4 linked regions of the Arabidopsis thaliana genome follow. The protein of the gene in region 4 binds, or shares a complex with, the protein of the main gene of each other region. Each region holds a gene or a part of one and is shown on either strand. Other genes may lie near its edges. The genes, in order: CSN6A, CSN6B, COP8 and FUS5. A codon is read from its position in the direction of its gene.

The links.
Region 1: FUS5 (region 4) and CSN6A share a complex: the UniProt entries of both Arabidopsis thaliana proteins name them as parts of the CSN complex.
Region 2: the proteins of FUS5 (region 4) and CSN6B are in contact, whole or in part, in a cryo-EM structure (PDB 9IS6), measured with the Arabidopsis thaliana proteins. Residues at the interface, in NP_563645.1 of Arabidopsis thaliana: Glu4 (codon at 2,829), Gln7 (codon at 2,820), Ile11 (codon at 2,808), Ala41 (codon at 2,718), Ser43 (codon at 2,712), Glu44 (codon at 2,709), Ala104 (codon at 2,334), Glu105 (codon at 2,331), Asn107 (codon at 2,325), Lys108 (codon at 2,322), Val154 (codon at 1,879), Pro155 (codon at 1,876), Phe156 (codon at 1,873), Ala157 (codon at 1,870), Ala158 (codon at 1,867), Gly159 (codon at 1,864), Arg160 (codon at 1,861), Asp161 (codon at 1,858), Leu162 (codon at 1,855), Leu167 (codon at 1,840), Met170 (codon at 1,831), Leu171 (codon at 1,828), Thr173 (codon at 1,822), Leu174 (codon at 1,819), Ser175 (codon at 1,816), Trp177 (codon at 1,810), Leu178 (codon at 1,675), Ser181 (codon at 1,666), Glu182 (codon at 1,663), Leu185 (codon at 1,654); in NP_567746.1 of Arabidopsis thaliana: Leu208 (codon at 3,072), Ala209 (codon at 3,166), Leu212 (codon at 3,175), His216 (codon at 3,187), Ile219 (codon at 3,196), Asn223 (codon at 3,208), Ile226 (codon at 3,217), Arg227 (codon at 3,220), Tyr230 (codon at 3,229), Ile233 (codon at 3,238), Val234 (codon at 3,241), Gln237 (codon at 3,250), Asn245 (codon at 3,464), Ser246 (codon at 3,467), Leu248 (codon at 3,473), Arg249 (codon at 3,476), Gln250 (codon at 3,479), Val251 (codon at 3,482), Ser252 (codon at 3,485), Ser253 (codon at 3,488), Leu255 (codon at 3,494), Arg256 (codon at 3,497), Ser257 (codon at 3,500), Leu258 (codon at 3,503), Ala260 (codon at 3,509), Ala261 (codon at 3,512), Glu262 (codon at 3,515).
Region 3: the proteins of FUS5 (region 4) and COP8 are in contact, whole or in part, in a cryo-EM structure (PDB 9IS6), measured with the Arabidopsis thaliana proteins. Residues at the interface, in NP_563645.1 of Arabidopsis thaliana: Met1 (codon at 2,838), Lys108 (codon at 2,322), Val124 (codon at 2,165), Arg125 (codon at 2,162), Glu128 (codon at 2,153), Asp129 (codon at 2,150), Ile132 (codon at 2,141), Asn133 (codon at 2,138), Met136 (codon at 2,129), Tyr137 (codon at 2,126), Lys144 (codon at 2,015), Leu145 (codon at 2,012), Asp146 (codon at 2,009), Gln147 (codon at 2,006), Leu148 (codon at 2,003), Pro155 (codon at 1,876); in NP_199111.1 of Arabidopsis thaliana: Glu269 (codon at 4,177), Arg270 (codon at 4,180), Ile271 (codon at 4,183), Arg273 (codon at 4,189), Ser310 (codon at 4,397), Lys313 (codon at 4,406), Leu314 (codon at 4,409), Tyr315 (codon at 4,412), Thr316 (codon at 4,415), Asn317 (codon at 4,418), Ile318 (codon at 4,421), Arg319 (codon at 4,424), Glu322 (codon at 4,507), Thr325 (codon at 4,516), Leu326 (codon at 4,519), Val357 (codon at 4,735), His359 (codon at 4,741), Gln373 (codon at 4,783), Asp383 (codon at 4,915).

What each region holds. Positions count from the first base shown.
Region 1 is NC_003076.8:22,782,862-22,787,281, forward strand, and holds CSN6A (COP9 signalosome subunit 6A), read right to left. Parts: upstream 2,745-4,420; 5' UTR 2,670-2,744; coding exon 2,372-2,669; intron 2,283-2,371; coding exon 2,194-2,282; intron 2,108-2,193; coding exon 2,014-2,107; intron 1,815-2,013; coding exon 1,753-1,814; intron 1,634-1,752; coding exon 1,555-1,633; intron 1,474-1,554; coding exon 1,381-1,473; intron 1,248-1,380; coding exon 1,147-1,247; intron 1,055-1,146; coding exon 999-1,054; intron 838-998; coding exon 756-837; 3' UTR 523-755; downstream 1-522. Other genes in the region: WRKY2 (WRKY DNA-binding protein 2), read left to right, coding at 1-276; PEX5 (peroxin 5), read left to right, coding at 3,794-3,913, 4,199-4,327. UniProt on the Arabidopsis thaliana protein: Component of the COP9 signalosome complex (CSN), a complex involved in various cellular and developmental processes such as photomorphogenesis and auxin and jasmonate responses.
Region 2 is NC_003075.7:13,353,131-13,358,160, forward strand, and holds CSN6B (COP9 signalosome subunit 6B), read left to right. Parts: upstream 1-1,861; 5' UTR 1,862-2,098; coding exon 2,099-2,396; intron 2,397-2,476; coding exon 2,477-2,565; intron 2,566-2,652; coding exon 2,653-2,746; intron 2,747-2,841; coding exon 2,842-2,903; intron 2,904-2,993; coding exon 2,994-3,072; intron 3,073-3,163; coding exon 3,164-3,256; intron 3,257-3,446; coding exon 3,447-3,547; intron 3,548-3,676; coding exon 3,677-3,732; intron 3,733-4,114; coding exon 4,115-4,196; 3' UTR 4,197-4,465; downstream 4,466-5,030. Other genes in the region: WRKY34 (WRKY DNA-binding protein 34), read right to left, coding at 4,466-4,997. UniProt on the Arabidopsis thaliana protein: Component of the COP9 signalosome complex (CSN), a complex involved in various cellular and developmental processes such as photomorphogenesis and auxin and jasmonate responses.
Region 3 is NC_003076.8:17,236,645-17,242,431, reverse strand, and holds COP8 (Proteasome component (PCI) domain protein), read left to right. Parts: upstream 1-1,615; 5' UTR 1,616-1,782; coding exon 1,783-1,912; intron 1,913-2,050; coding exon 2,051-2,202; intron 2,203-2,472; coding exon 2,473-2,576; intron 2,577-2,664; coding exon 2,665-2,725; intron 2,726-3,182; coding exon 3,183-3,275; intron 3,276-3,363; coding exon 3,364-3,464; intron 3,465-3,705; coding exon 3,706-3,814; intron 3,815-3,899; coding exon 3,900-3,944; intron 3,945-4,167; coding exon 4,168-4,236; intron 4,237-4,333; coding exon 4,334-4,425; intron 4,426-4,499; coding exon 4,500-4,602; intron 4,603-4,725; coding exon 4,726-4,785; intron 4,786-4,887; coding exon 4,888-4,962; 3' UTR 4,963-5,279; downstream 5,280-5,787. Other genes in the region: AT5G42965 (Polynucleotidyl transferase, ribonuclease H-like superfamily protein), read right to left, coding at 5,307-5,696. UniProt on the Arabidopsis thaliana protein: Component of the COP9 signalosome complex (CSN), a complex involved in various cellular and developmental processes such as photomorphogenesis and auxin and jasmonate responses.
Region 4 is NC_003070.9:386,731-391,602, forward strand, and holds FUS5 (Proteasome component (PCI) domain protein), read right to left. Parts: upstream 3,079-4,872; 5' UTR 2,839-3,078; coding exon 2,680-2,838; intron 2,572-2,679; coding exon 2,496-2,571; intron 2,409-2,495; coding exon 2,320-2,408; intron 2,211-2,319; coding exon 2,121-2,210; intron 2,031-2,120; coding exon 1,986-2,030; intron 1,880-1,985; coding exon 1,809-1,879; intron 1,677-1,808; coding exon 1,538-1,676; coding exon of another isoform or gene 1,493-1,537; exon of another isoform or gene 943-1,492; coding exon 854-942; intron 774-853; coding exon 749-773; 3' UTR 547-748; downstream 1-546. Other genes in the region: SBI1 (Leucine carboxyl methyltransferase), read left to right, coding at 3,146-3,213, 3,307-3,520, 3,622-3,669, 3,753-3,834, 4,032-4,134, 4,273-4,393, 4,486-4,533, 4,728-4,811. UniProt on the Arabidopsis thaliana protein: Component of the COP9 signalosome complex (CSN), a complex involved in various cellular and developmental processes such as photomorphogenesis and auxin and jasmonate responses.

The sequences.
Region 1 (4,420 bases), on a different chromosome or scaffold from region 4:
TCTCCTTTTAGCCGTCCCTTTAGCTTTCAGCCACATTTGGGTCCTCCTTCTGGTTTCTCCTTCGGTTTAGGACAAACCGGTTTGGTTAATCTTTCAATGCCTGGTTTAGCGTATGGTCAAGGGAAAATGCCGGGTTTGCCTCACCCGTATATGACACAACCGGTTGGGATGAGTGAAGCAATGATGCAGAGAGGGATGGAACCAAAGGTTGAACCGGTTTCAGATTCAGGACAATCGGTATATAACCAGATCATGAGTAGATTACCTCAGATTTGAAATTTACTCTTCTTCTTCTTCTTCTGCATTTGGTCACTCCTTATAATAACTTTTAATTTCTGCTTCTTCTTCTTCTTTCATTTATTGGTTTCAAACTTTGGGGAAGGTAAAGGCTGTTTTATTGTTCATTCCTTGGTTTTGTCTTCTTTTTTACTGGTTCTTTATCTTATATTGAAATCAACAAAGAAGAAAAAAGTGAGTGTTGTGTAGCAATACTGCAATTGCTAACTGGAGACTGATGTGGATGTAACTAGAGAGACTGATAGAATCAAACCTTAAAATCTTTTTACTAACAATAGAAACTTGTTCAAGATCAAACAAGAGCTTTGATAGATAAGCAGATGTTCTTATAGATATAGAAACAATGAAGAGGATAAAGTCTTGCCGTCTGAGTTATAGATTCTCACAGAGGCAATGTTAAAAATGGTTTCAGGAACCAAGAGAAGATCTTTAGAACTAGAATCGCTGGAAAGGATCTTTTACATGAATGCAGTTCTTCCACCTCTTCGAGTGTTTCTGTCATATGCGGTGTTGAATTTGTCGACCATCTCGTTCATGTTGCTGCAGATTGAGCAAACAAAATTATTAACTGATATAACAGAATCCACCAGCCCGGTGAAAACCGTATCTTTCACAGTTCCTAAAGAACCACTAGTTAAAGAGCATTCGCTAGCCTATATACTTGCTTTCAAATACTTTAGAATGTTGCATTAGGTACAAACCTGGAACAATTTGTAATCATCGCTAGGTAAGTTATTAGTAATTTGTCGTTGTACTCCTGCAAAAAGAAAAAATGCCAGCATAAGTTGCGAAATATCTCAGACAATAAGCTACACTGAAAAGAATCAAGTGCAGATCTAACTAACTCACCATCAAGAAATTATCTTGAAATCTCTCTGATTCCATGGCAGGCAATCTTCTTAGCAGGCTAGATACTTGTCTCAGAACTGAGTTGTCACAAGATTTATCACCTACACACATAAATGAGTTGGCAGATAAATTATTACACTTACACAACTTTGACTATCTTCAGCTAGAATCCTGGACTGGTAAACATGAAACCACGGTGATAAGAATCGGAACTTGGGAAAGAACAGAATATACCTTTCTGCATTGCAGCAAGATTTTGGTAAAGCACTCTGATTCTGCTATTAAGCATCTTGATGGCACTATGTATACCAGTAAGATGAGCAGCCACTGCATATGAACGAATAATCAGCCAAAAACAGTAAGACTCAGGAAGTGGAGTATGATATGTATTAGTGACATAAGGCTCACACTGGGTTGCTGCTGAGCCTCCGTCAGATGGTTTAAGATGTGCAACATGATCAACTGATATCCGTTCAGCTTCAACTGTCTACATTGTATAACACCTCAAAATCTTAGTCAATGTACACTTTCATAACATAGATTAAATTGCAGAATGTTTGACAAAAAAAAAAAAAATTATTTGCAGAATCAAACTTAAGCACAGACCTCGATTGTGTAGCTTGTATGAGCGAAAATTAGCTGCGGGATTCCATCAATGACATGCAATTCTTCAAGTAATGAAGATCAATCAATGAAACAAAGAGAAAAGTTAGGATCTTGTAAAACAATCTGACCTAAATCTGGAAGTCAATAAAGATAAAGACTTGGGAAGATATCTAGAAACTCTGAACTACGCATATACCTATACTAACATGCTAACATATCAGAATGTACCCACAGAACCATATGACATTATAAGAAGCATACCACTTTCATAAATAGTCACTGGAAGATCCTTCTGTGTGTGATTGATAGCAGGGTTTAAAAGCACATAAACAGGAGATTCATTGATATCCATCAACTGTCACCAAGAGCAGACACAAAAACCACACTTTTAGAGACCAAATCTCAATTATACAAAAATACTAGAGAGAGCATTGGACTCACAGCTTTATGGATATGCATATCAGATTCCTCAGCATCACTTCCCGTAGAGTACCATCCCAGAATATAGAAATCAGGGAACACCTTCTTATCTAATAAACAATAAAACCAGATAAAAGTTCAAACTTTAATTTACGATTGCATCAATAGTTGAGAATAAAAAGAGTGAGCTTTAGCTTACAGAGCTCTTGCTTCTTCTCGAGGAAAGATCTATCAAGGGTTTGAGTAGAAGGATCATATAAAAGCTCGAAACTGTTGAATATCTCAACAGTACGACCTCTCTGGACACCGATCACACATCCGTAAACCCTAGGGTTTTGCTGGAACATTGCTTCGCCGTTGTTTGAGCCATGGCCGCTTGCGCAGATTGAAGCAGGAGGATTGAGCTGAGTTTTGACCCTAGTGTAGTGATCCGATATGTTGACGATTACCAAAGGATGTAGCTTGAAGGTTAAACCGCTTGATGACGAAGGTGCCATTGTCGATCTCTCTCTCCTTTGATGAATTCTTTGGTTTTTGGGTTTTTAGTTTTTTTATGAAGATTTTTTTTATTTAAATCAATGTGGATTCGGATCCTAGATCGGGTCTTCCGGGTCAACTATATGGATATTAGTTTTTTCTGTATGGGCCGAGCGTAGGACTTATATATGCGGTTGGGCCTCATGACTTGTTTTTCCAATTACATTTTTTCATTTTGGAAACTAATTATATTAATTAACAAACGAAAATAAGATAAACCAAACGATTGAGACTCATAAAATCAGATATCTGAAGTTGACAAAAAATGTACTAGAAATTTGAAAACAGACAACATTCATCAAATTTTTCAATATGAAAGTTCAATAGTTCAGTGGTTAGACTAAAGGTTATAATTTTTTCCACAAAATGTTTGATTTCTAGTGTGTAAATTCTTGCAAGTTAATGAAAGGAAAAAAAAATCTAGAGATGCCTAGCATATTGTAACTATTGTTGATGTAGATGAATTTTTTTTTTTTTTTTAGTTATTGATGAAATTAGTGAAGTCATGTTGGTCGTCCAAATGTGTGATATGAGTACAAGAGTAGAATCTACCTTCGTTTGTAACGCATTGCACAATCAATCAAGAAATATAACTAAACCCAGCAAAAATCAAGCAATATAATTTATTTATCTTTGGTATGATCAAGCAAATATAATTCAACACTAATAGGAAACTACAAAATTCAAAAGTGGCAGCAAATCGGACAAAAAGATAAAACATATCTTGATAAAGAAAGATAAAAAAAAACTATATTCACAACAATTCATTTTTAATTACGGATACTGTAAAAAACGGTTTTTTCACAAAAATAAATAACTAAACAAAAATGTGTTGGTGAGCCTAAAAATGTGTGTGGTGTGGATAATATATAAATATTAATTACCAAAATACTATCAAAAAATTTAATAATTTCTTACGAAGCTGTGACCAAACACAACAAACAAAAAAAACACCGCCACGAGACGAGCCAAACTAAAGATTAGGATTTGGGAGGTTGATGATCAATTCCGGACAACGGAGGAAACCATACTGATAGATTCAACGACGGTGATTGCGGCGGAGGAGTAGAAACCCGTTGGAAACATGGCGATGAGAGACCTTGTTAACGGCGGAGCCGCTTGTGCCGTTCCTGGTTCGTCTTCTTCTTCTAATCCTCTCGGAGCTCTCACCAACGCTTTACTTGGTTCGTCTTCCAAAACCCAGGTTAGCTTCCTGATTCCTTTTTGATCGAAACAGTGTTGACATTTGAAGTCTCCTGATTCCATTCTTCGCCTTTTCCTTGGTTCTCCTGGAACTAAGAAGTCGAATTAGATCTCATTTTTCGTTGGGTTTTGTTATTTGCTTGCCAAGTTTCGATTTTTCTTTCCGTAGTGTTAGGGTTTTAGACGTTCTTCGATTATGTCAAGTGATTTGGCTGACAATTGTTTAAAGGTTTAAAATTTCCTGAGAATTTGAAGAAATGTTGATGATTGGTGATTTGTTGTGCAGGAAAGGCTCAAGGAGATACCTAATGCAAACCGGTCAGGTCCTCGGCCACAATTTTACTCTGAAGACCAACAGATAAGGTCACTTCCTGGTTCTGAGTTAGATCAGCCACTTCTGCAACCGGGTGCTCAGGTTAATGTTGTGGAAAGTTTTGGTTTTACAATGGTAGTATTGACTCTGATTATCTAGCCTCTGTGATGGCTGATGGGTTTGCAATTTTTACAT
Region 2 (5,030 bases), on a different chromosome or scaffold from region 4:
TTAGGAGAAAGTTTTTGAAAATTTACAAAACTTTCTGTTAGTAGATGCTTAATTTCATCAGTGTTTTCCAAGCAATTTTGAATTAAGGATTAATAAAATTGTTATGTATATTATGAAATAATGAAGATATTTCGCTATCTCTAGAGTCTAAAGAGATTAGCAGTTGGTGCCTTGGTGGTTGACAAAAGAAAAGAAGAAGAGATTAGCAGTTGCGTTTAACATTGGTTTTATCTAGAAAGATGAACTGATGGTTACATATAAAACTAGTCGTTGTCTGTCAGTGTCCACTAAAGACTATTTTCTTCTTTTGATATACATTTCTAAATATACAACAATATCATTTCTCCGAGGTTTGTGAATTGTTTAGGTATAAAATAGTTTTCTACAATAACTTTTGCTATCGGGTGCAAAGACATTCTACCATAGAACGAGTTTAGTATAGTGTCATTTCGTAGATTCTTTATTCGGATTGGTTTTTCAATATCAACAAAATTCTGGTTCATTTTCTTCCCTCCTATAAACGAAGGTAAAAAGAATGAAGAAAAAAGAAAAGAAAGAATATTTTGTTAATGCATTATCTAACGTGTTAATGTGTCACTTTCATTTTTCTTAATCGTTTGTTGAAAACTTTTTGCAGTTGATTTCAGGAAAACGGAACACACATATATATATATATATGTCTTTTATTTTCAATACGGACCAAATCCATCATTTGCTAATCAGTGAGAAAACTAAATCGTGGTCTACTAGTTTATATAAATTGAAAAAAGAATCATAAATAATATGTCACATATCCAACCTAAAGATTTATGTCTATACATGTAAAAATGTAAATGAGCATATTCCCAAATTTCCCACAAGTATATAGCACTACCTACACTCACGCTTCTTCAAAGTGAAGGCGATGGTGGAAAAAAGCGTAGACGATGACTTGATAAGATTGACTGAAGAAAAGAAAAAAAGTTATCATAAGTCAAAAAGCATGTCGTTAGAGTTTGACGAGATCCCATGCATGATTATATTGTCGGATACAATTGTTTGAACAATACGGTTGGAAAAATCTACCGTAATATGAAGACTTGAATGACATAACTAAAGATTGTACCTTGCAAGCCAGCAATGTGTTAATGATATGAGTAAGGGTGCAGAGGCTGCGGCTGGTGGCTACTGGCTAGTGATAAGCAATTTACGATGTAATGACAGATATATCATAGGAGACTAGGAGTTATATATGGTATATATAGAATCTAAAATAACATATTTATCAATTTACTATATTAAGTTTTATGGTTCCAAACTCAAAACTAATTGTTTATGAGTAGATTTGGTTTATATACTGTATATTACTCATATTCTATTTCCACTTTTAATGTGGGATTTCTCATAAACTATATACAGTTATATTTTTAATTAATGAAATAACAATAATACAGATTTAAATGTAGCCTTAACTATTTTTATGAAATTTAAATGAAATTTAATTTAAAAGATTGCATTCAGAATACAAAACTGTAATATTCTGTAAAATATTGATAGGTACTACTTACAACATAGGAAACATATTTAAAGATATGTTATATAAACTAAAAATAGTTTAAAATATCAATATATATATATATATATATATATATTACGAAAAGAAGAATTAAAACAGACTACACACATAATAAAATTTTAATAGTAACACTTACAAACATATCCAATAATATTAAATAAAATTAATTCATTATGATCTTTATGTTATTTCTATATACTCAAACCAAAAAAAAAGAAGTAAATGATTCAAAATCCAATCATAATTATTTTTCAAATTCATTAAAATACAAGAAATTTCATATTAAAAAAATAGATATTTCTTTCAAAGATTTATATTCAAATTATAAATATATACTAAAACGCTAAAAAATTAAGTACATGCTATAATCTTTTCCATTATTTTTCTAACAAAAGAAAGTTATATATGGGCTAAACTTAGAAGGAAAGCCCAAGAGGCCAAGACTATATAAAGATTCATGACCCGAGTTTAAGATCCGATTTCAGAATTTGGGACTAAAGGAGGACAACGACAAGCGCCGGGAAAAAATCGAGAGCGACAACAATGGCGCCTTCTTCGTCGAGCGGTCTCACGTTCAAGCTACATCCTCTGGTGATGCTTAACATATCCGATCACTTCACTAGGGTTAAAACTCAGCTTAATCCTCCCGCCGCTTCTTGCGCCACCGGGAATGGCTCCAACAACGCCGACGCGATGTTACTGCAAAACCCTAGGGTTTATGGCTGCGTCATCGGTCTCCAGAGAGGTCGTACGGTTGAGATCTTCAACAGTTTCGAGCTGATATTCGATCCTGCTCTTGATACTCTCGACAGATCCTTCCTCGAGAAGAAGCAAGAACTCTGTAAGTTTACTTACACTCGCTCACTTTTGTTGTCGATTGTTTGATACTCTTGCTAATTTGTGAGTTTTGTTATTTTTTAGATAAGAAGGTGTTCCCTGACTTCTACGTATTGGGATGGTATTCTACGGGAAGTGACGCTACCGAATCTGATATGCATATCCACAAAGCTGTGAGTAGTGTAGCTTTAATGTTTAATATAAATTTAATTGAATTTAGGATTCTCATTGTACTGATTTGTTGAGGTTTTCATCTACAGCTGATGGACATTAATGAATCTCCTGTGTATGTTCTTTTAAATCCTGCTATCAATCATGCACAGAAGGATCTTCCTGTGACTATCTACGAAAGCGGTAAAAATTGGTTATTTGCATCACTGATTGTCTTATTGTTTTATAGATTATAATCTTGCTAATCCTGTCTTTTTGATTGTTTTCAAAATTTGAAGAATTTCATGTCATTGATGGAATTCCTCAGTCGATTTTCGTGCATACCAGCTACACAATTGAGGTATGTGTTTAGGCCACTTGATCTGTAATCTATCTATGTGATATGAGAGTGGACTTTCAATAACATTGCAATGATTGTAAACGCGTGCAGACAGTTGAAGCTGAAAGAATATCTGTTGATCATGTTGCACATCTTAAGCCATCTGATGGAGGCTCAGCTGCGACTCAGTGTAAGCTTTATTATCACTTCATATTTATCATAATCTGTTCTTTCTTTTTCATCTGCATGGAATTTTAGGTTGATTCCTCGATTTTGTGCAGTGGCTGCTCATCTTACTGGAATACATAGTGCCATCAAGATGCTTAATAGCAGAATCAGAGTGCTATACCAGCATATTGTCGCTATGCAGAAAGGTATATTCTTGCTCAAGTCCCCACTCTCGGTCCCTCTTCAATTTGTTAATCAAGCTTTTGTGACCTGTCCCTTGATCTTAGAATATTTCTATGTGTTTTCCTACGGGGAAGAAAGAATTAAAAGGGTGTTAGAAGATGATTTTGAGCAAGAGTAATGTGGTACTAATGACTTATGTGATTCTGCATCTAGGTGATAAACCTTGTGAGAACTCAGTTCTGAGACAAGTATCTAGTCTGCTCAGAAGTTTGCCTGCCGCAGAATCAGAGAAGTTCAATGAAAATTTCTTGATGGTAAGTAGTACCTTACCTTTTTCTAGCAATGTTGGTTAAATAAAGTGGCCTTCGAATCTCTTAAATTCTTAATGTAGCTTGTTGTTGTGAATGATATCTTTATAAATATGATGTTCTCTTCTTTTGCAGGAGTACAACGACAAATTGCTGATGTCTTACCTAGCAATGATCACGAATTGTACCAGGTATGTGCTCGACACGCTATTCCATTTAACTATTTGAATAAAAGAATGATGGACATGCATGCAAATCTTTTGCTTGATACAATGCAATGTTTTACGATACCAAGACAGATGAAATCACCAGTACTTGGTTGAGGCTGACATTGAGATAGTTTGTTTTATTTAGATTAAGAACTAAATCTAGGACCTTGCTCAATTATCCTTGTTATAATTAAGATACTGAGCCTGTAGTAGCTAAGGGAATATAAGCTTCTTTTTAAAAAAAAAATCTAATCTTGTGCTACACCTTGACCAATCCATATGTCAATTTCATTCCAACGAAATGTCCTGAAAGAATCCTTTGTATATTTGATCTCTTACTCTCCTTTTTCCCCCCAAAATGCAGCAACATGAACGAGGTGGTTGACAAATTCAACACTGCATACGACAAACACAGCCGAAGAGGTGGTAGGACTGCGTTCATGTAAAGATTAGTTTCAATGTAAAAAAACCTTTTCTTTCTTTTGGTGGTCTGGTCCCTAAGTGAAAATTTAGAACTCTTTTAAGGCATTTCACTTTTCGGAACCAAACAAACAGCTAGGAAGCTTTTCTTCTGTTTAAGCTTTGTCTAGACAGAAGCTAAGTTTAGGCCTAACTAAATTTTGCGACAAGACTGTAAAAACAAAACAGCTTTTACCTTCTCTCAATTTTTCATTTATTCAAAAATTTGAGCAATCAGTGAACAAAGAGATTTGTTTCATATCTGTCGTAATCTACTCAACATCTCTCTGCATATCAATGAGCTCGCTGACAAATCAAGTCCCTGTTGTGGTGACACTGGTTCCACCTTCGGCTGTGCTGCTAACTGCAACATTAGGCCAGTTGGATCCCCAATGTCAGGCGCCTGCAGGCTGGTAAGCTTCTCTTGCCCAATAGTTAGACCAGGCATTGAAAGATCAGAAAGCTCAGATTGGCCTATGTAAACGGAGAAACCTGTAGGATGCCTCAGGTGTGACTGGAAGTCAAATAGAGATGAGTTGGCTGTGGCCAGTCCCTCAGATCTACTGTGTGGCATTGGATAGTGCACATTGTGGTTGTGGGTCTGAGTCGCTAAACTGCCTTGGAGAGTCCCTGAACTGCCTGCACCGACGTGGCTGCTGTTGCGTGCTGCTGGTACAACGTGGGTGTGCTTGCCTATATAAGTTGTTAGTACGCTCTTGAAGTCATCAGAGGCTCTCTCTACATGCTTCGTTACGGTACATCCATTAGCTGTGCATTTATAGTAGCTCCTGAAAACATAGAAAACTGATTTTATTAAATTC
Region 3 (5,787 bases), on a different chromosome or scaffold from region 4:
AGTCAAAAAGGTTATGAGATTTGAGTATTTCTTTTTATTTTTTATTTTTTTTTTGTTGGTCACATTGAATATTATTGCCTTTGGTAGTTCAGTCCTATATTTTATTTGAGAAACAAAATCAGAAAAGAATCTATAATTTGAAGCAACTTTCATATTGTAATTTGGTATTCCTATATTTTATTTGAGAAACAATATCAGAAAAGATCAAAAGAATCTATAATTTGTAGCAACTTTAAATATTGTAATAGGAAATCTTTTAAAATTTATCAATATGAAATTTGTTAATTTATAATAGGTCTTGAGATTTGATCATGTGACTTCTAAACACAAGTTATTGGGCTTTTGTTTAAGTAAAGCCCATGTGTCAAAGAAATGGATTGTTTTCCTAGTTAGTGAAATAATCTTATACACACAATTTAAAAACAATAGAGAAAATTAATGTTGAAATGAGCAGATTAATGTGGGGTTGTACATATCAAGGTGGAACTATCACAAGGAAGAACAAAGAGATATCTTGAGGTAACTACCCAAAGAAAGAGCAATGAAACCCTACCATGACAATTTGTCCAGACTATAACGAGTTAAATCATTATCATGAATTCCATACCATGGCAATTTGTTTTCTTTCAATGGGATGTCTACCATTCCAAAAAAGTTTTGCCATCAACAACCGCATCTGTTCTTTTGAGTAAATGTAATTTTGGTAAACTATGTAGTCTATAATCATTAGTTACAATATGGATCTGTAAAGTTGATTCAAAAACAATTGTGATGTTCTCGAACGGGATCACCATAAACTTCATCAAAAAAAATCCTTTAAGCGAGAGAAACTCGTGATTTTTCGAGACAACGATTGTGTCTATGAGTCTATCGTCCAACCTCATCCAATACCAATATGTTCAGTTATATCTAAGTTGTAAAGCACATAAAATCGATTTGTCAGTCAGCTCACATGTTTAAACCAAAGTCGTATTCCAATGCGAGACTTGGTTTCCTAGTCTGAGATAGGTAAATTTCTTTATATACTACCCTCTATGTAACGAGAGAGTGGTTCTTTTTTCACTTTTAATTCATGAGAGCACTTTCAAAACATTTTGCATGTCATTGCTCTCAAGATTTGGGCTCACAACTTTTCCGATGACTTCTCGGTCATATCTTGACCATTCGATCAATTTTTCGATTGCTTCTAGTCGATTCTTTCTCAACAAATAATTATTTACGTTTCCATCTTAAATTGCTCCCTAAGCTCTAAAACACATAACATATCATCTTTTTCCGATCTGGTATCATAATATTAAACGTGGTATTGTCATCATAAAATACCTCATCATCGTGTTTTCCAAATCACGACGTGTTTTTTTATTTGTGTAAAAGATTTACTGTAGTAATTTAGGCTCACATATAAAAATATTTCTAAACAATATATTATTTGTTGATTTTTTTTTTTAATCTACAATCAATTTGGTAAACTTACCATCACAAATTAATTATAAAATTTATGAACTAACAAAAAAAAATATAGTATTTATGCTTAATATATATATATATATATTTTAATTTATTTTGGGTACTAATCTCATATGAGTTGTGACCATATTAAGTAAATTTTGTAAAGCGCCTCTCCGATCACCGGCACAGAATCTAGTCCCCGTTTATTTTTTTAATATAAAAAGAGAGCAAACTCCAAAAAAAAAAAAAAAAAAAGCGAGAGAGAAATCAAAACCTTGTAAGGTTTCTTAGGGTTTCAATCGAAGCGGGAGAGAAAATCTCAGAAGAGAAGCCATGGATGAAGCTTTGACGAACGCTTCTGCAATCGGTGACCAACGCCAGAAAATCGAACAGTACAAACTCATCCTCTCCTCTGTTCTCTCTTCCAACGATCTTCTCCAAGCTCAGAGATTCATCGATCACAGTAATTTCGCATCTCCCTTCTTTCTCATGGTTTCAACTTCATAAGAGATTCGACAACTGCTTTTTGTTCTTATGGAATTCGGTTTATATCAGAATTTCTGGTTTGATTTTGATTTTTGCTTCCTCACAATTTTTCCAGTTCTTTCCGATGATGTCCCGTTGGTGGTTTCGAGGCAGCTTTTGCAGTCTTTCGCACAAGAGCTTGGGAGATTAGAACCGGAGACGCAGAAGGAGATTGCTCAATTTACTCTTACCCAGATTCAGCCTAGAGTTGTTTCCTTTGAGGAACAGGTTTGTTTTCTCTTCGTGATACCTTACTGTTTAGCAGCAATCGTGTACTTTTTAAACCCTAATTAGTTTACCTACTTAACATAAGTTGAGAGGTATGTAGAGTCGCTTTGCTATTGTACCGCTTTGGTATGTGAAATCTACACTGAAAGCTAATTTGAGATATTTGTTTACTAAGGATGCTGTATTTTGGGATAACTGAGACAATGTACGTTGTGTTGTTTTTCAATCTCTTTATTCTAAGAGATGAAACTGTTTGTGGTGTATTTGCAGGCACTTGTTATCAGAGAAAAACTTGCGGGTTTGTATGAATCAGAGCAGGAATGGTCAAAAGCAGCACAGATGTTGAGTGGAATTGATCTGGATTCTGGAATGAGGTGTGTGGCATTGAGCAGAATTTTGTTTTAGTTTCCTCTCTATGTTCTTTTGTGTTGCTTATTTTGGATTTGCGGAATTCTTTATTAGGGCCGTTGACGACAACTTCAAGCTTTCAAAGTGTATCCAAATTGCTCGTTTGTATCTCGAGGTTTGTCTTTCCCTTTCATGTACATATGCACAATAGATTCTGTGTCCTTTTCATTAATTTTTAAGCATGTAAATCGGTTATCTCTGTTTATGAGATGAATTTACGCATCGCAGTAATGATTTATAGCTAGTTTGTCTTGTTTCCTTCTGTGGGTGCGTGTCAATCAGTTACAGAAGTTAGATCTTAAAAGCACAAAAGAAACCCGTTGTTGAATGTTGATTCAATCTTCAAATATTTGGACATTTTTCTAGAGAGATTTTATTTAAAGTTAAGTCTCTTGACCAAATCTAAGTGTCATGAAATTAGGAATATCGACTGTTAAGAGCATTATTCTGCTTCACTACATCACTTTTTTATTTATTGCTTGTGAGAGTAAATTGAGGCTAGCAGAGTTGTATAAATACATTTAGTTAAATTTTTATTGTTCTCTAATACTTTTGTGTTTTGAAATTTTCAGGATGATGATGCTGTAAATGCAGAGGCTTTTATAAATAAAGCTTCTTTCTTAGTGAGCAATAGTCAGAATGAAGTTTTGAATTTGCAGTACAAGGTTGGACCACCTTAAAGTAAACTAAGAATTTATGTGCTGGGTGATTAAGGAGCATTCGTTTTCAAGTTTTAATATATTTCTGTTTCAGGTCTGCTATGCTAGAATTTTGGACATGAAAAGAAAGTTTTTAGAGGCTGCACTTCGGTATTACGGCATATCTCAGATTGAGCAACGCCAAATAGGGGATGAGTAAGTGAACTGACTTATCTTTCTGCTACATCTTTTCTTCAAATTCTCCTCTGTTGGTTTCTTGTTCGGATGGAATAATGATTAATTAATCTTCTATCCATCTTTGGAGACTCTGTATTTAAAGCTAGTTTCCTACTTTTCCCCTCTCTGTGATTGAATAGTGTTCCTCTTTTCTCTCTCCAATACCTTTGTGATATCTCATATTCTGAAACGGTTATAATGTGTTTTCTAATCTTTTCAGAGAGATTGATGAGAATGCTTTAGAGCAGGCCCTATCAGCTGCTGTCACATGTACCATATTAGCTGGAGCTGGTCCTCAGCGTTCTCGTGTTCTTGCAACTTTATACAAAGTAATTCCCTTTTGGATTACAAATAGAATACTTTCCTGCTTGCTTATTTATTGTTTTTTATTTCTCAATATCTTTCTATTAACAGGATGAGCGTTGCTCCAAGCTGAAGATTTATCCTATCCTGCAGAAGGTTCTATCTCTTATTACCTACAACTGTTTCCTCTAGTAGACAAACATACATTTTCATGCTATTGGACATATAGTATTGTTTGAACTCACATATTACTCTTGTTTAAGCCGGCATGATGTTTATTAGATTTGATTCATTATCAAATCAAACAAGTTCACCATAGCTTATAGAGGCTTGGTTAGAAATGCATGGTAACTTTTTGTTTTTTAATGCAACTTTATAGGTGTATCTGGAAAGGATTTTAAGGAGACCAGAGATTGATGCCTTTTCAGAAGAACTAAGGCCACATCAGGTATGGACTGTGAATTAAGATTTAGATGTAGTTTTTGGATAACATCTGAGTTGGTAAGTAGGTTCATAACAAGTTATTACACTGTTGATTTCAACAGAAAGCATCTTTGCCTGACAAATCCACTGTTCTTGACCGTGCTATGATTGAGCATAACCTTCTTAGTGCAAGCAAACTCTACACAAACATAAGGTATGAGATGTCGAATTAGTATCTTCTTTGTGTGTCTAGACTTGTTTGATTTTCTCAACTATTTTATATCCTAGGTTTGATGAATTGGGAACTCTGTTGGCGATTGATCCAAGAAAAGCGGAGAAGATAGCAGCTAATATGATTGGGCAAGACCGAATGAGGGGTTCCATAGATCAGGTAAGCAATAAAAAATACTTTGTTGGTTGAGCTATGTAAGAGCCCTGAAGAGAATTCTCGTTAGTGTTGATTTTCTAGAAGGAGGTTCCTAGACGTGTTTTAATATTTTATGTTACTGTTCAGGAGGAGGCTGTGATTCATTTTGAGGATGACGTGGAGGAACTACAACAATGGGATCAACAGGTTTTCTATCTCTCCCTCCCACTCTTTGTCTCTTTAGAGCAACTATATATGATTGTTTGTTTTATTGGCGTGGAATATGACTGAAAAGTGGAATCTGTGCAGATATCGGGATTATGCCAAGCTCTCAATGACATTCTGGATGGGATGGCCAAGAAAGGCATGTCTGTTCCTGTCTGATTGACTCCCAAGCCGTGAGATCGCCTCATGATGATTAATTTGTATTAGCCGAGCAACGGATCGAGTCTCATGCCAAAGTTTTTGCCAAATTGCTGTGTTTTGGGGACAGTCATTTTCACCTTATTTACTTTCTTGCAAATTCATGTCTATGTCTTTAGGTTAATTGATTCAGAGAGGAAAAGATTAGGCATTGAATGAGGATTTTTAAGAAAGTTGAAAAGAGGTTCAGGGTACATTTTTACCTCAGAACAAATTATTTTATGCATAGATGAACCTTTCTTGTGCAAGAGAATGATGAAACTAGTAGTTTTTTTTTTTTTTTTGGCTCAACAACAACTTCTCATTTACCAAACGGTGATTACACAGAGTCTGAATACACACAATCTTTTATCCAAGCCGGCACCTTTAGAATACATTTTAGGATCATAATTCAATAAAGAAAGAGATTCCCTAGCAATTCTATCTGCCACACTGTTTCCTTCACGCTTTATATGCATCACCTTCACCTCCTCAAATTGTTGGAATATATGTCTAATGTCCTGAATTCTTGGGGCCAAATTTGGATAATCAGTATCATCCCCTAACAGAGACACTAGATGTTGGGAATCTGATTCAAAGATGACTTTCTTATAGTTAAATCTTGACATTGAAAGAGCTGCCCATCTCATAGCTTCAAGTTCCACTTCCAACACTGTCTGAACTCTCGGGATTGCACGAAGTCCCAGCCACAACATTTTCCCCTCATGATTTCTCAGATGAAACTAGTAGTTACATATAACATTTTCCCATTCGTTGTTTAATTTTTATTCTTGAACGATCAAAACT
Region 4 (4,872 bases):
TTGTAACAATTATACATACAGTAGGAGAGATTTTAGGAGTCTTAGTTTATTTATTTAACTTCAAGATTCACAAACATGTTTTCTAATTACAAAAAAAAAAAACACTATTATTCCTTTATCCTTGCTCTTAAGGGTCTGTTTGAGAATTAGTTAGGTGAAAACATGTTTGAGAAATCGGCGGGGATTGTGTTTTCATGGTCATAAAACATGACCATAAACACTGAAAGAGATTATGATTATGCTGAGGGAGTGTGAGAAATCGGCAGGGATTGTCATCATATAGTACTAGACTACTAGTACTTTGTATAACGTTCTCAGGAACATGTTTCGGTCAGAATTCCGATGGTGGGATCTAGTCGATGACGTAATAAACAACACTTTCATGCCCGCCTAAGAGGCAGCTGTCGCAGACTAAGCAGGTTTCAACATGTGAGGGGCCAAGGCGCTGGCTAGTGGTCAAAAGACGGAACACTGAGAATATCTGTATCATTCCATATGATCCAAGCGCCTAGCTTTGCTCAAGTGTCAAGACTATTGATTACTGAATACTAAATTCAAAGCCATTTTTCTTTTAATGGGCAGAGAGACACCAAATTTGCTAATGAGGGAAATCAAACATAACAAGGGGTTATTGTGAGAGAGAACAGAGGATCTTATACAAGTTGAAAATCCGCAACCAAATAATCATAATCTACTCTCGGTAAATGGAATGTCAATCCGCACTGACCATTTGCTCTCTCTTGCTCCTCTACCTTGTTACAGGATGCCTCCTCCTGCGTTCCAAAGTTGAATGTGTGTATGTTATATCATCTCCTTTGTACTTATCATCTCACTCATATCTAATATTCGTTACCTCTTTGGTCGGATCCCATCTTCTTCGTAGTCCATCACTCCACTTGGTTCCCCAAACATCTCCTTATTCCCTCTGATGTCAACATCCCCCTGCCCACAACGTAAGTAAGACTATATCGACCACCACCCTTCCCAATCATATTTCAGACACAAAAAACCAAACGAACCTTGTTTCATTTCATTTAACAATCAGACAATAACCAAGTACTACCATTCCAAACAATTCATGTCCTCTAATGACTTTAACACTTCACTAACAGCCGTTGTGATTGCGTTCCTTGTTTGTTTTTAATTAAAGAAAACTTCATAATATATGTTTACATCCAACATGTAAGATTTCTTGTTCCACGAAAGAACGGTTAAAAAAGCCCGCCACAGTTGGCTGATCGATTCGTTTGTTATTAAGAAACATAACTTTTTAATCTATGATAGGACTGGACTTGGAAAGCTCAAAGACCTAGAAAGATTTTTTTATCAAGTCTCTCCCATCCCCGCTTACATAGACCTAAGCTATTAATAAGAAGAAACCCACTACAATTCTCTGAAGAAATATAAGACAGAATAGCTGACTGGACTCTAACTCATGGTCACAAGACAGTAACCAAGAAAGAATGTAACCAATATTAGTTACATAATATACTTAGTAGGGAAAAGTGAAGCCAATAGGACTCCAAGCGCGACTGACCTTCATGGACAGAGACTTCTTCACTTCTTCCACCCCTTCTTCTGCTTCCTTACGATGTTTTTTGTCCATCTCACTCATATTGTCCGCCCATTTGATCTTGTCTTGAATTGAAATGAGCAGATTCTCTGACGTGTTCAACCTAGACATCAATTTGGGCCAACACATAAAAGAGTAGGACGTCATTAGCCATGTATTCTAACATCACGTACAAGTTCTTATAATTAGATATAGAAGGCAAAAAATCCTGGATCTAAGGGAAGAAGAAAACTACCAGTTGGACAATGTGTGTAACATATTCCCTAGTTGACCTGGCCTTAGATCCCTACCAGCTGCAAACGGAACCTGCATGGTTGCAAGAGATATATGATGTTTAGAAGGGGGGGCTCGTACGTTTAGAAACAAAGCACAATGGTTAAAATAGGAAAAGGAGGCCCAAACCAAAACACACCTCAAAACATCTTTTTAACTGATCCAGTTTTCCCCTAACTATACCCTGCAAAGTGTAAAAGAAAAAAAATGAGCACCATGCGTTGTCACAGTTAGTTGTCAAATAGAGATTAGAAGACTGCTAAAGAGTACTCACCGCATACATGCATTCATTGATAAGAAAGTCCTCGAGTTCGCGAACATTGGAAACATCTAACTCGACCATTAGTGTATCATAGGGCAATACCTATAACAAGCAGAGTGAGAGAGACATTCAGTTAGGCAAACAGCAGGGGAAAAAGATAATGGAACAGAGTAGATAGCAGGAGCAAATCATGAACCTAAGACAAATATACCTTGTTAGACTCAGCAAGGGTGAGGACAGTGAGCTGCTTAAGCTTAAGAATTTGGTCAGGGGACAAGTGCGGAAGACGGGTGGCATTGCCTAGTGTTTCGATGAAAGCAAGTCAAGAGGAGAGAATATGACAAAAGGGAAAACGAATTGAAATAGCATATGACAAAGGGGTCATACATTTGTAGTCTCCCCAGGTGCCATGGGCAAACAAGCGTAGTAGATCCAGGTACACAGAATCTGTGGTTCCTTCAAGCTGCACAATTACGATTAATCAGCTACTAGTATCTATCAAGTTGTTATGATCAGCGAAGAACAAAAGCATGTAAAACCCTAGATCGTGAAAAGCATAAAGTAGTAGTACCTGGGCAACATTGGGTAGAGCCAAAATCTCGGAGAAGGCGAAGAGAGAAGGATGCGATGTGGCTTCGATGATGAGCGGGCCCAGAGCCTCGGATTTGCAAGTAGAAGCTCGCTTCACGAGCTGATCAATGATCTCGGCTTGCTTCTGCTCGATATCCATCTTCCAAACAAATCGATTTCCGGTGGTTTAGGGTTTTCTTTCTTACCACACTAATAACGAATAAAATCCCAAACTTCTTCTCTCTGCTCCTTCCTTCTTCCGTTTTTATATTACTGTTTTTTTTATGTGACCGACCGAATTCTTCTAGAATCTTGTTTAATAATTGGGCTCAAATTTCGTAGTTTCTGGGCCAAGGCCTACTAAGAGAAATATTAGAAACCGCGTCTGGTGAGCCCAAACAATCCCGGGGAAGAGAGAGACTATTGAATATTCTTCTTCCTTCATTTTGGCTGAGAGAGCGACGACGATGGCGGAATCTCGCAGCAACAGAGCGGCGGTTCAGGCTACTAACGACGATGCATCCGCCAGTAAATTGTACGCCTACCTCTTTCTCTCTTCTTTAATTAGGGCTCTTCTTTTTTTTTTGTTGTTGTTGTGGATCTTTGAGCCTAGATAATATTTTTAAAGGTCTTGTGTCAAAAAGGGATATATGAAAGACGACTATGTTCATCTCTTTGTGAAAAGACCTGTTCGAAGATCTCCCATCATTAATCGAGGTTACTTTTCCCGTTGGGCTGCCTTCCGAAAGCTTATGTCTCAGTTTCTTCTAAGCGGGACAAGTTCTAAGAAACAGATACTGTCTCTCGGAGCTGGCTTTGATACTACCTATTTTCAGTTGCTGGTGCGTCTTCTTTTTCTTCTCCTTTTTGTTAGCTTTTACCAAATTCACCATTCTTCGGCTTATTCCAGGGATCTCTCGCTTCTTCTCTTCTCATTTTGTAGGATGAGGGGAATGGGCCCAATCTCTATGTGGAACTTGATTTTAAGGAGGTACTACTGGATGAGCGTGCTGACAAAAGTATCCATCATGTGTTTTGAGTCTAATGCCTAAATGGATTTGCTTCTTACGTTAGGTGACTAGCAAGAAGGCTGCTGTTATACAAAACTCCAGCCAACTCAGGGACAAACTAGGAGCCAATGCATCTATTTCTATTGGTAAGAGCCTTTTTTCCCCCCATGTATTATTATGTAGAATGATCCTTTTCATTATGATGCATTTCAGCTTGTGCACTCATATTTTTCTTCATTCCGCTTCTACTAGCTACTAACTCAACCACCCCCTTTTACTTTGTACCGTTAGCGTCTAGTTTCAGTTGCTTACTCTTAACTCGTTGGGCTGTTTATCTCTACAGACGAAGGACAAGTTCTCAGTGATCATTACAAGTTACTTCCAGTTGACCTGCGCGATATACCAAAATTAAGAGATGTTATATCCTTTGCAGATATGGATCTAAGGTATCCATGAATAATTTTTATTTATTTTACACACTGTTATCTTGAACCTTCAACCCTCTTCTTCTACCCGGGTTTAAGATATATGGTAACAGATACTTACTGGTGATAGACCTACTTGATCCCTAATATCATTATCAGTCTGCCGACGTTTATTATTGCAGAATGTGTTTTGATTTATCTGGACCCCGATTCAAGCCGTGCCATCGTCAATTGGTCGTCAAAAACGTTTTCAACTGCAGTATTTTTCTTATATGAGCAGGTTAGCTCAACTGTGATTTTCCTTGTCTGCATAATATTGCAGATACGAATCTTATTGCTTATGTGTCTAACCCGTTGGGTTTCTGTTTGCAGATCCATCCAGATGATGCATTTGGGCATCAAATGATTAGAAATTTGGAGGTAAGAACGTGTACTCTACTACTCTAGTTACAGCGACATCTTCATTAGTAAAGCTTTTTTGAGATTTTTGTCAAAATATGGATACTAGTATGACACTAAAATATTCTAGTATTGCCACATGGGTTCATGTTGTACTGATCAATTACCTTCATTTAAACTTGTTCTGAAAGCTTAACGGTGTTTCTGTTCTTCAGAGTCGGGGATGTGCACTCTTAAGCATTGATGCATCACCAACTTTACTTGCAAAGGAGAGATTGTTTCTTGATAATGGATGGCAGGTTCGTTTTGCAGTTAGAATATTATGATTAAAGCAGGGCTAACTTTCATGTATAATTTCTG